Linked DNA regions of Rattus norvegicus. The protein of the gene in region 1 interacts with the protein of each later gene in a pairwise test. Links are inferred from orthologs where the notes say so. Each region holds a gene or a part of one and is shown in the gene's direction. Other genes may lie near its edges.

What was found. The genes of interacting proteins can lie anywhere in the genome.
Region 2: the proteins of Meox2 (region 1) and Chrd interact in binary tests that used the Homo sapiens proteins (3 or more experiments, as listed by UniProt). The two-hybrid records come from large-scale screens. The link is inferred for Rattus norvegicus from reciprocal best matches to the Homo sapiens genes MEOX2 and CHRD.

What each region holds. Positions count from the first base shown.
Region 1 is NC_086024.1:59,581,868-59,587,640, forward strand, and holds the start of Meox2 (homeobox protein MOX-2), read left to right. Parts: upstream 1-2,157; 5' UTR 2,158-2,349; coding exon 2,350-2,863; intron 2,864-5,773. UniProt on the Homo sapiens protein: Mesodermal transcription factor that plays a key role in somitogenesis and somitogenesis and limb muscle differentiation. Required during limb development for normal appendicular muscle formation and for the normal regulation of myogenic genes.
Region 2 is NC_086029.1:93,681,437-93,686,881, reverse strand, and holds the start of Chrd (chordin precursor), read left to right. Parts: upstream 1-1,781; 5' UTR 1,782-1,802; coding exon 1,803-1,950; intron 1,951-2,072; exon of another isoform or gene 2,073-2,120; coding exon of another isoform or gene 2,121-2,186; coding exon 2,187-2,290; intron 2,291-2,676; coding exon 2,677-2,806; intron 2,807-2,943; coding exon 2,944-3,072; intron 3,073-3,156; coding exon 3,157-3,256; intron 3,257-3,355; coding exon 3,356-3,443; intron 3,444-3,784; coding exon 3,785-3,926; intron 3,927-4,041; coding exon 4,042-4,170; intron 4,171-4,256; coding exon 4,257-4,339; intron 4,340-4,416; coding exon 4,417-4,564; intron 4,565-4,708; coding exon 4,709-4,815; intron 4,816-4,935; coding exon 4,936-5,055; coding exon of another isoform or gene 5,056-5,114; intron 5,115-5,445. UniProt on the Homo sapiens protein: Dorsalizing factor. Key developmental protein that dorsalizes early vertebrate embryonic tissues by binding to ventralizing TGF-beta family bone morphogenetic proteins (BMPs) and sequestering them in latent complexes.

The sequences.
Region 1 (5,773 bases):
GTCACAAAAAGCAGAAAAATCAAAATACTTTGCAATCTTATATGAGGAAGACGTTTCCCACTCTCTTTTGTAATTCTTAAAAAAGCCAAGGGGGTGGGCAGTGGCAGAAGAAATAGTCTCAAGCTTTAAGTCCAGGAAACGAACCTGCCTGTACCTAAAGTTTTGGCTGCCACTGACCGCACCCCAAGAATGCTCAGCTCCCCTTGTCAGGATTAGATTCCCAAATTACAGGCAAAGAACCTTACCTTAGTCAAAGACTTGCTGCAGGTTCCAGCTCACTCTCAGACTGAAAAGTTGAGCAGCTGGTGAACAAAAGTTTTAGGTTCTTTTTTTATTCCCTAACGAAGTCTGCAAAACTAATTTCCCTCAAAATAGGGCTCAATTTCCGTTAAAGAAAGCAGTGCTTACAAATCTTGGAACTCCTGATCAACCCCCACTCCACCCCATCTCTAAGTAGTGAAAAACAATTCGACTTTTCACACGGTTGTTAAAGTTTGTTTGGAAGTCCCTTTTCTGGAGAACCTCTTAAAATAAAGGACAACAGACTGAAGATTCCAGAAGGGCCGGCAGAGGGAAAGGCTCTGCCTTGGGGACACACCTCCCAAATTAATCAATACCTTTTCCTAATTTAAGCCAGATGTCTAGTTCAGGTTGCTGTACTCATTAATCCCATTAGCAATTTCAAAGACTTGACCATCATCTTCTGGTCACCCAGACAATAAACATATGGCAGTTAACCGTAGTGGCACGCCCAAGCCCTGAACACAGTAGGCTACTGCAGACATCCTCCTTGTAGACACTTCACAGACAGGACCCACTTTCCTGCAGCTCATTCTCCAAAGCTTGTTGTGGGTTAAAGAGAGGACCTCTAGTAGACTCTGTGGCAGGTCAAGCAAGCTAAAGGCTGTGTCAACCGCAACCCGGCTCTCACAAATTCACCAGTGGGCAAGTTTCGTAGTTCACTTCCAGGAGCCCAGGCTGTAAACCTGGGGGAAATGAACCATCATAGCAGGGTCGACTCTGAGGAAATGTTGAGTTTGCTATCTGCTTAAAACAGAGAGGTGGCAAGGAACGAACGGAATGTATGCAAAGAGGAGCACTGTAAGCTAAAAAAAGAAATTTCATTTCTCAACGGATGGGGGACGGGGTGGTGTGTGTGTGAATTGGCTCCTGTAGGGTTAGACTAGAAAGGGTGAAGCTGGGAGCAACTTATACTTGCTCAATTGATGTTTCTTAGGGTTGTTCCTGACCCAGAAAACTTTCCCAGTGAGCGAGTGTTGAGGAAATTGAACAAACTGGGTTGTTAAAGAGACATAGGGCTGGGAGGACACGGTCAGAAACAGAAGAAAGGGGGACACCACTTGGAGTGGCACATAAATATGTGCCACCAAGGCACCAGAACTTGCATCCATCTCTGCTTAAGGCACACCCCACTGGCTACCTCTCCATTCCGCACTCAGAGTAGCTCTGTGCTATCCTTGGTGCTCAGCCCTACAACCTCCTCTCTGGTGCGGGTTTTCTAACAATCTATCCTAAAACACCTAAAAGGGAAAAATATAATGTGCCCCTGAATGCGGGAAGTGCGAGTGGTCTTGGAGTTTGAAAAGCTAGACTGCTTCGCTCTTTTCCTTCTCTTGAACTCTAATAAGTTCTCTGTGATCTGAAAAGTCAGAGAGCGCCTGTAGGTGACTGCAACCCCCACCAAGGCTGGGAAATCTAGGTTCCAAGAACAGTGAGCGAGCACAGACACGGGGTGCTGGCTTAGCATAGTCGAGTGCTTCTGTGTCTGGCCACGGGAATCTATGGGATAGATCGCGGTGGTGTCCCTGAGCTACTGAGGCTCTGGGCGCTCCACTAACTGTTGTGGAAGCTCCCAGGACCCGACGGGCGTGGGGCAGCCGCTCCTGTCCTGCCAGCAATTGGGAACTGGAAATGAGAGAGTACGGTGGCGCTGACTGAGCGGGAGTTTTGGAGGGAGTTTGCATGTGGTCAGCGCTGGGCTCCTAAGCCAGCCCCCAGCTCACATTACACTCTATTTATAACCTCTCAGAGCCATTTCCCCCCCTGAAAGCAGTTCTCTGGGACCACCTTCTTTTGGCTTCCACCTCTCCCACACTTGACATCTGAGCAGCTGCAAGGGAAGCTCCTCCAGGTCCTAGTGTTTATACGTGCAGGAGACTGGCCGCTCGGCTCAGGACTGGGATTAGCGGGCTCTGCTCAAACCCGCGCGGCTTTTACATTAGGAGTGAGTGGGGGAGAGTCCTAGGATTTCTAGTGAAAAGTGACAGCGCTTGGTGGACTTTGGGACCTTCGTGAAGTCTTCTGCTTGGAAGCTGAGACTTGCATGCCATGGAACACCCCCTCTTTGGCTGCCTGCGCAGCCCCCACGCCACAGCGCAAGGCTTGCACCCCTTCTCGCAGTCTTCTCTGGCCCTCCATGGAAGATCTGACCACATGTCCTACCCCGAACTCTCCACATCTTCCTCGTCTTGCATAATCGCGGGATACCCCAATGAGGAGGGCATGTTTGCCAGCCAGCATCACAGGGGGCACCACCACCACCACCACCACCACCATCACCACCACCAGCAGCAGCAGCACCAGGCTCTGCAAAGCAACTGGCACCTCCCGCAGATGTCCTCCCCGCCAAGCGCGGCCCGGCACAGCCTTTGCCTGCAGCCTGATTCCGGAGGGCCCCCGGAGCTGGGGAGCAGCCCTCCGGTCCTGTGCTCCAACTCTTCTAGCCTGGGCTCCAGCACCCCGACCGGAGCCGCGTGCGCACCAGGGGATTATGGCCGTCAAGCGCTGTCACCCGCAGAAGTGGAGAAGAGAAGTGGCAGCAAAAGAAAAAGCGACAGTTCAGGTGAGTGTCGGCAAAACAATCCTGGGGAGAGTGCGCTCTGGGCTAGGAAGATGCAGGGGAGGTAGGGATGGTTCTTGTAGAAAGACAAACTAAGAAGCAGCTAGCGTTTCCTCTCTCTGGTGGCCGAATTCATCTATGCAGGGTCGGCCCTGTAATTCAGGAGCACGTGTTTCACTGAAGTTAATATATCTACATCCAGCCGTTCAAAGCCCCCCAAGATCGCAAATCAGTTTTCCAGAAGCGTTGAAGAAAGAGCAAGTGACACTATGCGAAATCGGTTAAGGAGCGTGGCGGTCCATCCACTGGTTGGGCGGGGTGTGCTCTTTGGGATGCTGCATCCTCTGGGCGTGCGTGCATGTCTCTGTGTGTGCGTGCATGCGGTTCTCTTTGACTTTTTCTTTCCAATTCCCAACTCTGAACAGCTAGACTTTTCCTATCATTAGCTTGGTTTCCACATTATTGCACAATATCTTGAACTTTAACTGGATTTGACAAAATACGCAAAAATAGAAAAGAAAAAAGAAAAAAAAAGAAAGAAAAAGAAACCCAAAACTTTTTATTTACATTTTATTTTCAGAGTTCCTTAAATAGCATTTACTTAAAATGATATTTAAAAAGCATTCTATTCATTTGGCGAAAAAGACATTATCCAGTAATCTAGAAGTGTTTAAGGAATACATCTGAAAATTGCGAATAAATAGATAAGGGCTTGACGAAAGGGTATTCTTATAGTGATTACACTCATGTGGTGCTAACATAGGATAAAACAAAACAAGCAAAAAAAAATCAATCAGCCAACTAAAGGAAACAAAACTTTTGAATTTCAAGAGTGGAAAATAAAAGCCTTCACCAATTGAGTACTGCTTGGAGGTGCAGCGAAGAGAGCTGACAGACAACAGCTCTGACAGCGCTGGAAGAAGATACAGAGAAAGTGTGGGTAACCTGAGCAGCCCAACAAAAGGGGAGCCTCCCAGAAGAATTCAGGGGCCTGAAAGTTCAATAGCCAGTACATCCCGGCAGCCCAGTAAAACTGAAAATTTCCAGGAAGCACAACAAAGCCCTTAACTATATTCCTCATTGTAAAGATGTTTACTTTCTTCCTTTCTTCTTTCCTTCCTACCTATCTTTCCTCTTTCCGTTTTCCCTTCTTTCTTTCTGTTCTTTCTTTCTTCCATTGAATCTTCCCTGTAGTTACAAGGCAACCTGGATACAGATTTTGGAAGACATCACTTAACTAGCACAGTGTTTGCATTTATTTAATTTTCTGTGTTAGCGACTTGAAAGTTAGAACATACAATTTGAGGCATTAGTTTGAAGAATTGAAAAAAAATCGCATTTGCAGTGTAGGACAGTAAGGGCTGTGTATTTTGTAAGGGGTTGAAAGATGATAGAAACTTTTCTTGACCCCAGTGTGGGCTGACTGCTTCCTTCCCAGCCGCGTTGAACCTGCGATTTTCTAGGTCCAGGGTGAACTTTTAATGCTCCATCATGATTAGTTATGTCTAAGAATGTTACCACACTGTCATTTTGTTTAGCGGTTATTGCTGAATGTGCGTGAAATCCTAAGACACTGAGAAGGTTCCTAAGAAGGCATTAGAATCCGCTGGGTTTCCTCAGATTGGGCTTCATGAGCACAAATGCTCCATTTGCTTCTGCAGGTTGGTAGTTACCTCAGGAAGGACCAGAAGCCCCATTCCCTGTTTTCTTTCTGCAAGGGGGAAACTGACCTACTTCTGAGCTGAACCAATGCCCTAAAGATTATTTGCGCACACGAAGGAATTTTTGTTCAGGCACAAGTTATTTTTGGGTGGGGAAACAGGGAAAGTGAGATGCCAAGCTCTTCCCAATTTGTTTTACTATTTAATATAACGGTCTTAATTCAACGTTATTTAATATAATGGTCTTAATACTGACTAGCAGTGGTTTTCATCACCTTTACCAGGGGCAAGTAAGCACACAGCAACGCCAAGCTTGTTTTAGCATGGTGAAACTCGTTTAAACACCAAAACAAGTAAAGAGAATAAACATTTGTGCCAACCACCCAGTGTATTAATACGTTACAAAGATGGGAAATATAATCAATAGGAAGGATAATGTCACTGGGGTTGACTGAGAATGAATGTTCCCATTGATAGACTACCGAAGTCAAGCATCAATTTTCTTGGTACACTATTGAAGATCAAATCTATGTCCTCAGACTCTGAGTTAAAATCAATTAGATCACAGGTATGCTTAACTCCAAGCCATTCTTGGTCCTATTCCAATTTATACAGCAAACATTCAATTCAAGGTCAAATCATTTCATAGTATTGTGAAAACAGTTTGACTTACGAGACATCAAAGTAACAGAAAAACAGCTACCATCCTGTTCTGTTATCAATATATGAGCCTTGGCACAGTTGGCTATTGCATCACTTCATAATTAATTAATGTTCAATAAATTATATTGGACAATCTGAGACTATATTATATAAAAATTAAATCATGCATAGTAGCAACTATTTATTTATTTAAGCATTTTATAATCACTATGTATTTATCGTTGGCACTATAGACAGGGCCTTAATCTATGGCAGTATTGGAAACAAGTATCTATACACCTGAATCTAATACCAGTGTATGTGTGATAACTGCATTAATTTCTAATAAGCAACAGAAAGTAATGTTAAACAACCAAGTCATGTGTAAACATTACACTTTTATCCACAGTAATACTGCAACAATTTCAATGTAAAATACTGTCCAGTATTTCTGCTCTGAAAACCCACATGAAAGCAGACCTGTACAAATCCAGAAAGCTTACCAGTAGAGAAGCAGAGGTTTATAGACTTTAGACTTCCATTATAGTTAATTAACAATTAAAAATAGCCAGTTTCAAGAGAAAATTATGACATTTTCATAGTATGTGCT
Region 2 (5,445 bases), on another chromosome or scaffold:
TCCCTGTGGCTGAAATCTGACAGCACTTTGGCTTTCTTGTGTTCCCTTCCATATTCCCCTGCTCCAGAGGAGTGTCTTTCCTGGTATTTCCCCTTTCCAACTGGCAATGTAGGGATTGCCTATATGAGAGAATGATCATGTTACAGGAAACAGGGTTTGGACGATATGTGGGACCTGGGGAGTGAAGGGATATGCGTTTGGTTAAGACTGAGCCCAGAGCACCTCTTTAATCTCAGCACTTGGGAGGCAGAGGCAGGTGGATCTCAGGAAGTTTGAGGCTAGCCTGGCCTACCTAGTGAGCTACAGGCCAGCCAGGGCTACATAATGAGAACCTGTTTCAAAATGAGAGACAGACAAATAGATTGACTGGGCTTAGGTACCCTTCTTTCTCCTGGAGGTACAGGGACCTGGAGAGCTCAGCTCTGTGGGCAAGCCTGCCGTTGATTGCTCAATGGTCCCCTTCCAGTCCTACCATTATACATGTGATGAGAGAAATAACCAGGCCCATCTGTTCCTGTCTTAGGAAAGACAGCTGCCGAGCCTCCCCCACAAATACCTCTTTGCTGGCTCCTCTCTCTCTTCCTTTGGCCCTGGCTCTAGCTCCTGTGCTTTCTCCTCAGTCCCTGTCTCCCCACAGTCTGTCCTCTGGGACCCTGGGGCCTGACCCTGCCCTCTCTCCCTTGTTCTTCCTCAGGCTTTCTCCCGTGCCTCCTCTGAGGATGGACTGTCTATTAAGGAGTATGGCCCAGATCCCAGAATTCTCCAGTTGAATAAGAGATACCTCCTAAGATTAGGAAGCCTGATGCTGGGATAGCGGGAAGTGGTGGGGGTAGGAGAGGATGGGGAGGCTTGTCTAGAAAAGCAGGACGAAGGAGGTGGGGAATGACCTGGAGAGGAATAAGGTCCTCCCTCAGATGAAGGAAAACCACCAGTCAGAGGTGATAGATGATACAGTTGGATGGACTTGGGGACAGGTTGGGGTGGTGGTGGAATACGAGTCCACTCGTGGGGAAGCACTGCTTGATTCTGGGAAGCGCAAGCTAGGTTCCTGACCCTGGGAACTGAAGGAAGAGGAGAGACCTCAGAAGGGAAATAGGAATACAGCCAGAGTGAAAGGAAGGAGGTGCTGTGGGTCCTAGGTAGGGGAGGATCGGTATCCTTTTCAAAGACGAGCCCTCATCCTACAGCGGCCCATCCGGCTCACCACTGGTACAGGCCCGAGGCTCAGCCTCTACCCTTCACTAGCCCGAGGCTCTGGTCTTGGGATGGACACCACCTCCAGGGGTGGCCGCAAGGAGTGTGTGTGGGGGTGTCGAGGCCCGCCTCTCCTCCCCCTCTTTGCGCCCCCTGGTTCCTCCCTTCCCCCTACTCACTCCGCTCCCCCCTCCTCCAGTCCCTCCCTCCTCCCCTGCCGGGTCCCAGCCTGTCCCCCTCCCCCACTCGCGATCCGGCCGCTGCTGCTGGGCCGGACCCCCCGGGCTCAGCCGGGCTCCTTGTGGAGCCGCCGCCGCGCCCCGTTTGCTGAAGAGGAGGCCCCGGGCCGGGACGCCTGGCGCGGGCATAAAACGGGCCAGAGCCGGCGCCTAGGGCACTAGAGTGGCGTACGGCCCGGGTCAGCGCCCCTCCGCCCGCTCTCTCCCGCCCCGCCCGGCCGGGAGCGGACTAGGCGACTGCGAGACGAGCCCCTCGCCACTGCCCCCCTCCTGGCCCCGGCCCCCTCTTGCCGGCCCGCCTCCGGTCCGGCCCTACTCCCTCTCCTGCTCCCTCCTCCCGCCCGCCTCCCCAGCTGTCTGCTCCGCGTCATGCCGAGCCTCCCGGCCCCGCCGGCCCCTCGGCTGCTCCTCGGGCTGCTGCTGCTCGGCTCGCGGCCGGCCGGTGGCACTGGCCCTGAGGCCCCCGCACTGCCCATCCGTTCCGAGAAGGAGCCACTGCCTGTCCGGGGAGCGGCAGGTAGGTGGGCGCCAGGGGGAGACGCGGGAGGGGAGAGTCTGGCTCGGGCAAGTCTACATCCACAGGGAGAGGGCCCCGGGCGCAGGTGGCTTCGCGCAGCGGGAGGGTGGGTGGGGAAAGCAGAGGCGGCGAGGTGCGCGGTGCCAGGGGACCAAGGGCCTGGTGGGCAGAGCCCGGAGTAGGCATTACGGCAGGAGCAACCGGACAGCGGCCGCCAGCCAAGCCCGTCCCCGCAGGCTGCTCCTTCGGCGGGAAGGTCTATGCCTTGGACGAGACGTGGCACCCGGACCTGGGGGAGCCTTTTGGGGTGATGCGCTGTGTGCTGTGCGCCTGCGAAGCGGTGAGTGGATATCGCAGCTGCTCGTCCTACCCTAGAGGGTAGCGGAACGCTGGCGTCCTATGCCGTAGTAGACTCAGAGATGCTCTGGGGAAGGCTGGTTCGCAAATCAGAGGAAACCCCTTTCAAGTCTGCGGTGTTGACAGTTATTGATCGCCCACAATGTGACTGGCTTTTAGCCAACTTTCCCCCTCCCGTTACAGCTTTGCTAGATAAATGGCATTATTAGCTCTACTTTGCAGACAGGGACGCCAACGCTAGAGGAGTTAAGAAACTTGTCCAGGGCCATGTAACTTGTAAATAGCAGAGTCGACCGACTCCAGCAGAGTGTCTAACCCTGGGGTCTGATGGTTGCATTCTCTTAATTTTCCTATGTTCTCTGCCATCAGCCTCAGTGGGCTCGCCGTGGGAGGGGCCCTGGCAGGGTCAGCTGCAAGAACATCAAACCTCAGTGCCCCACCCTGGCCTGCAGGCAGCCGCGCCAGCTGCCAGGACACTGCTGCCAGACCTGCCCGCAGGGTGAGGCCGCTGTGCCCCGAGTTAGGGAGGGTGGAAGGCTCTAACACTAGGTCCTGTGCCGCTTGGATCGCGGAGGAGGAGTGGTCCTCCTTGTACCTTGCTGAAGCCGGTGGTCTCATTCCTTATCCCGGATGCAGAGCGCAGCAATCTAGATCCACAGCCGGCTGGCCTGGTCTTCGAGTATCCAAGGGACCCAGAGCATCGCAGTTATAGCGATCGAGGGGAACCCGGCACTGGGGAGCGGACACGTGGTGATGGCCACACGGGTAGGCTGGGACGGAGGTGGGCCTGATGAAATTTGAGTTCCCAGCAAGGCTGACAGTGCTCAGGACAATCTTTTCTTCTCGAAGACTTTGTGGCGTTGCTGACTGGACCGAGGACGCAGGCGGTAGCTCGTGCTCGAGTCTCTTTGCTGCGCTCAAGTTTACGCTTCTCTATCTCCTACCAGCGGTGAGACAAGGGAAAGGGGAAAGACCAGGAGTTGTAAAGGGGGCAAGAAAGAGGAGCCTGTAGGTTATAGATCCAGTCTCACTGGACCTCTCTTCACAGGCTGGACCGTCCCAGCAGGGTTCGGTTCACAGACCCCACAGGCAACATCCTGTTTGAACACCCTGCTGCCCCCACCCAAGATGGCCTGGTGAGATGATGCCATTTAAGAGTGCTTATCCAAAACGGGCACTTGCCGAGAGCATGCTTTGCATTGCCTCCTTTGGTTCTCACAACAGCCCAGTGGGAGAAAGGCCCTGACATTATGATGCCCATTTTACAGAGGAGGGAACTGAGGCTCAGAATAGCAGAATGTGATTTGTTCAAGGTCATTGGCTAGTAAGTGGTAAGCCAGGACTTAACATTAAGGCTCCTGGGTCCTTCTTAGAGGGTCTGGGGTCCCCCTTCCATACTCCTTCCTCATTAGGCCTGGGTCTTTTAGCTGGCTTGTTCTGCATACTTACGGTAGACTTTCTTCCCTCTTCTCTCTAGGTCTGTGGGGTGTGGCGGGCAGTGCCTCGGCTGTCTGTGAGGCTCCTGAGGGCAGAGCAGCTGCGTGTTGCCCTTGTGACACCCACTCACCCTTCAGAAGAAGTCTGGGGGCCTCTCATTTGGCAGGGTGCTCTCACTGCAGGTAGGGGGGGGGAGTGAGCAGTTCTTAGATGTCAAGAGCTGCACCTTCAATAGCCCAGGGGTCGGTGGACTGAAGAGAGGATTTCTCATGGCTGTCATGGTCCTCCACTCCCCAGAGACCTTCAGTGCCATCCTGACCCTGGAGGACCCACTGCAGCGGGGTGTCGGGGGCATAGCCCTGCTCACTCTCAGTGACACAGAAGATGCCTTACATTTTTTGCTGCTCTTCCGGGGTCTGCTGGGAGGTGAGTAATGGGGAAGATGTACGTACATGAGGGTGTTAGGGAGGGTGCTCACCTCTCAGAAATGCTCACACAAGCGGCACTTGCAGGACTAGCTCACGTCCCCTTGAAGCTTCAGATTCTCCACCAGGGACAGCTACTTCGAGAGCTCCAGGCCAATGCCTCAGCTCAGGTAAGGGAAGGCCTGCATCTCGTTGCTACTTCCTCTGACCTCTTGCTGTTGCCCACCACATTCTGCTCTGCTCACAGGAGCCAGGTTTTGCTGAGGTGCTGCCCAGCCTTACAGACCAAGAGATGGACTGGTTGGTGCTGGGGGAGCTGCAGATGGTCCTAGAGAAGATGGGTGGGCCAGAGCTACGCATCAGCGGGTATATCACGACCAGGCAGAGCTGTGATGGTGAGGAAGGGCGGGGCCTGGCACTGTGGTACAAGTAACTCAGAGGCACGAACATGTGCTAAAGAAGAGGCCAAATAGATACGAGAGAGTTCTTGGGGACCTGGGTGTGGGCAAACCTGTTGCCACCTGTCTTGTCCCCTGCAGTCCTTCAAAGCGTCCTCTGTGGGGCTGATGCCTTGATCCCAGTCCAGACGGGTGCTGCTGGCTCAGCCAGCTTCATACTGCTAGGAAATGGCTCCCTTATCTATCAGGTAAAAGTCAGCAGCTGTAGGGGACAGGGAGGCCAGCAGGGCAGGGCCTTGACCTGCAGGGGGAAAGGCCCTAGGTCTTGGCTGTCAATCCAATTGCCCTCCCCCAACCTTGCCCACCAGGTACAAGTGATAGGTACAGGTAGCGAGGTGGTGGCCATGACGCTGGAGACCAAGCCTCAGCGGAAGAACCAGCGCACTGTCCTGTGCCACATGGCTGGACTCCAGCTGGGAGGACACATGGTGAGGGCTCCAGGCAGAGTTGTGCCAGGGCTGCCAAAACATGGGCTGCGGGAAGCCAGGTTGGTTGAGCAGAGGTGTGTAGTACTGTTCACCCGCTCGTTGGTTCTCTCGGCGAGTCCTTTGTTCATTTGACACGTTTTAGTAAGCCTTAGGCTGGAACCCTTGTTCTCGGCAAGCTAACAGTTAAATAGGGAGCGCCACTCCTGGGAACAGCGAGATAGCCTGTGCGATAGTACTAACCGTGCCTTTGGTGTCTTTCTGTCAGGCATGAATGTGGTTGGCTTCTTTATGTACCGTGACTTTCGCAGTACCCTTTGATAGATGCGAAGCGAAGGCTCGCAGACGAGTAACTCTTCAAGGGTTGTGGTGTGTCTAGGATGTGGCACAGGA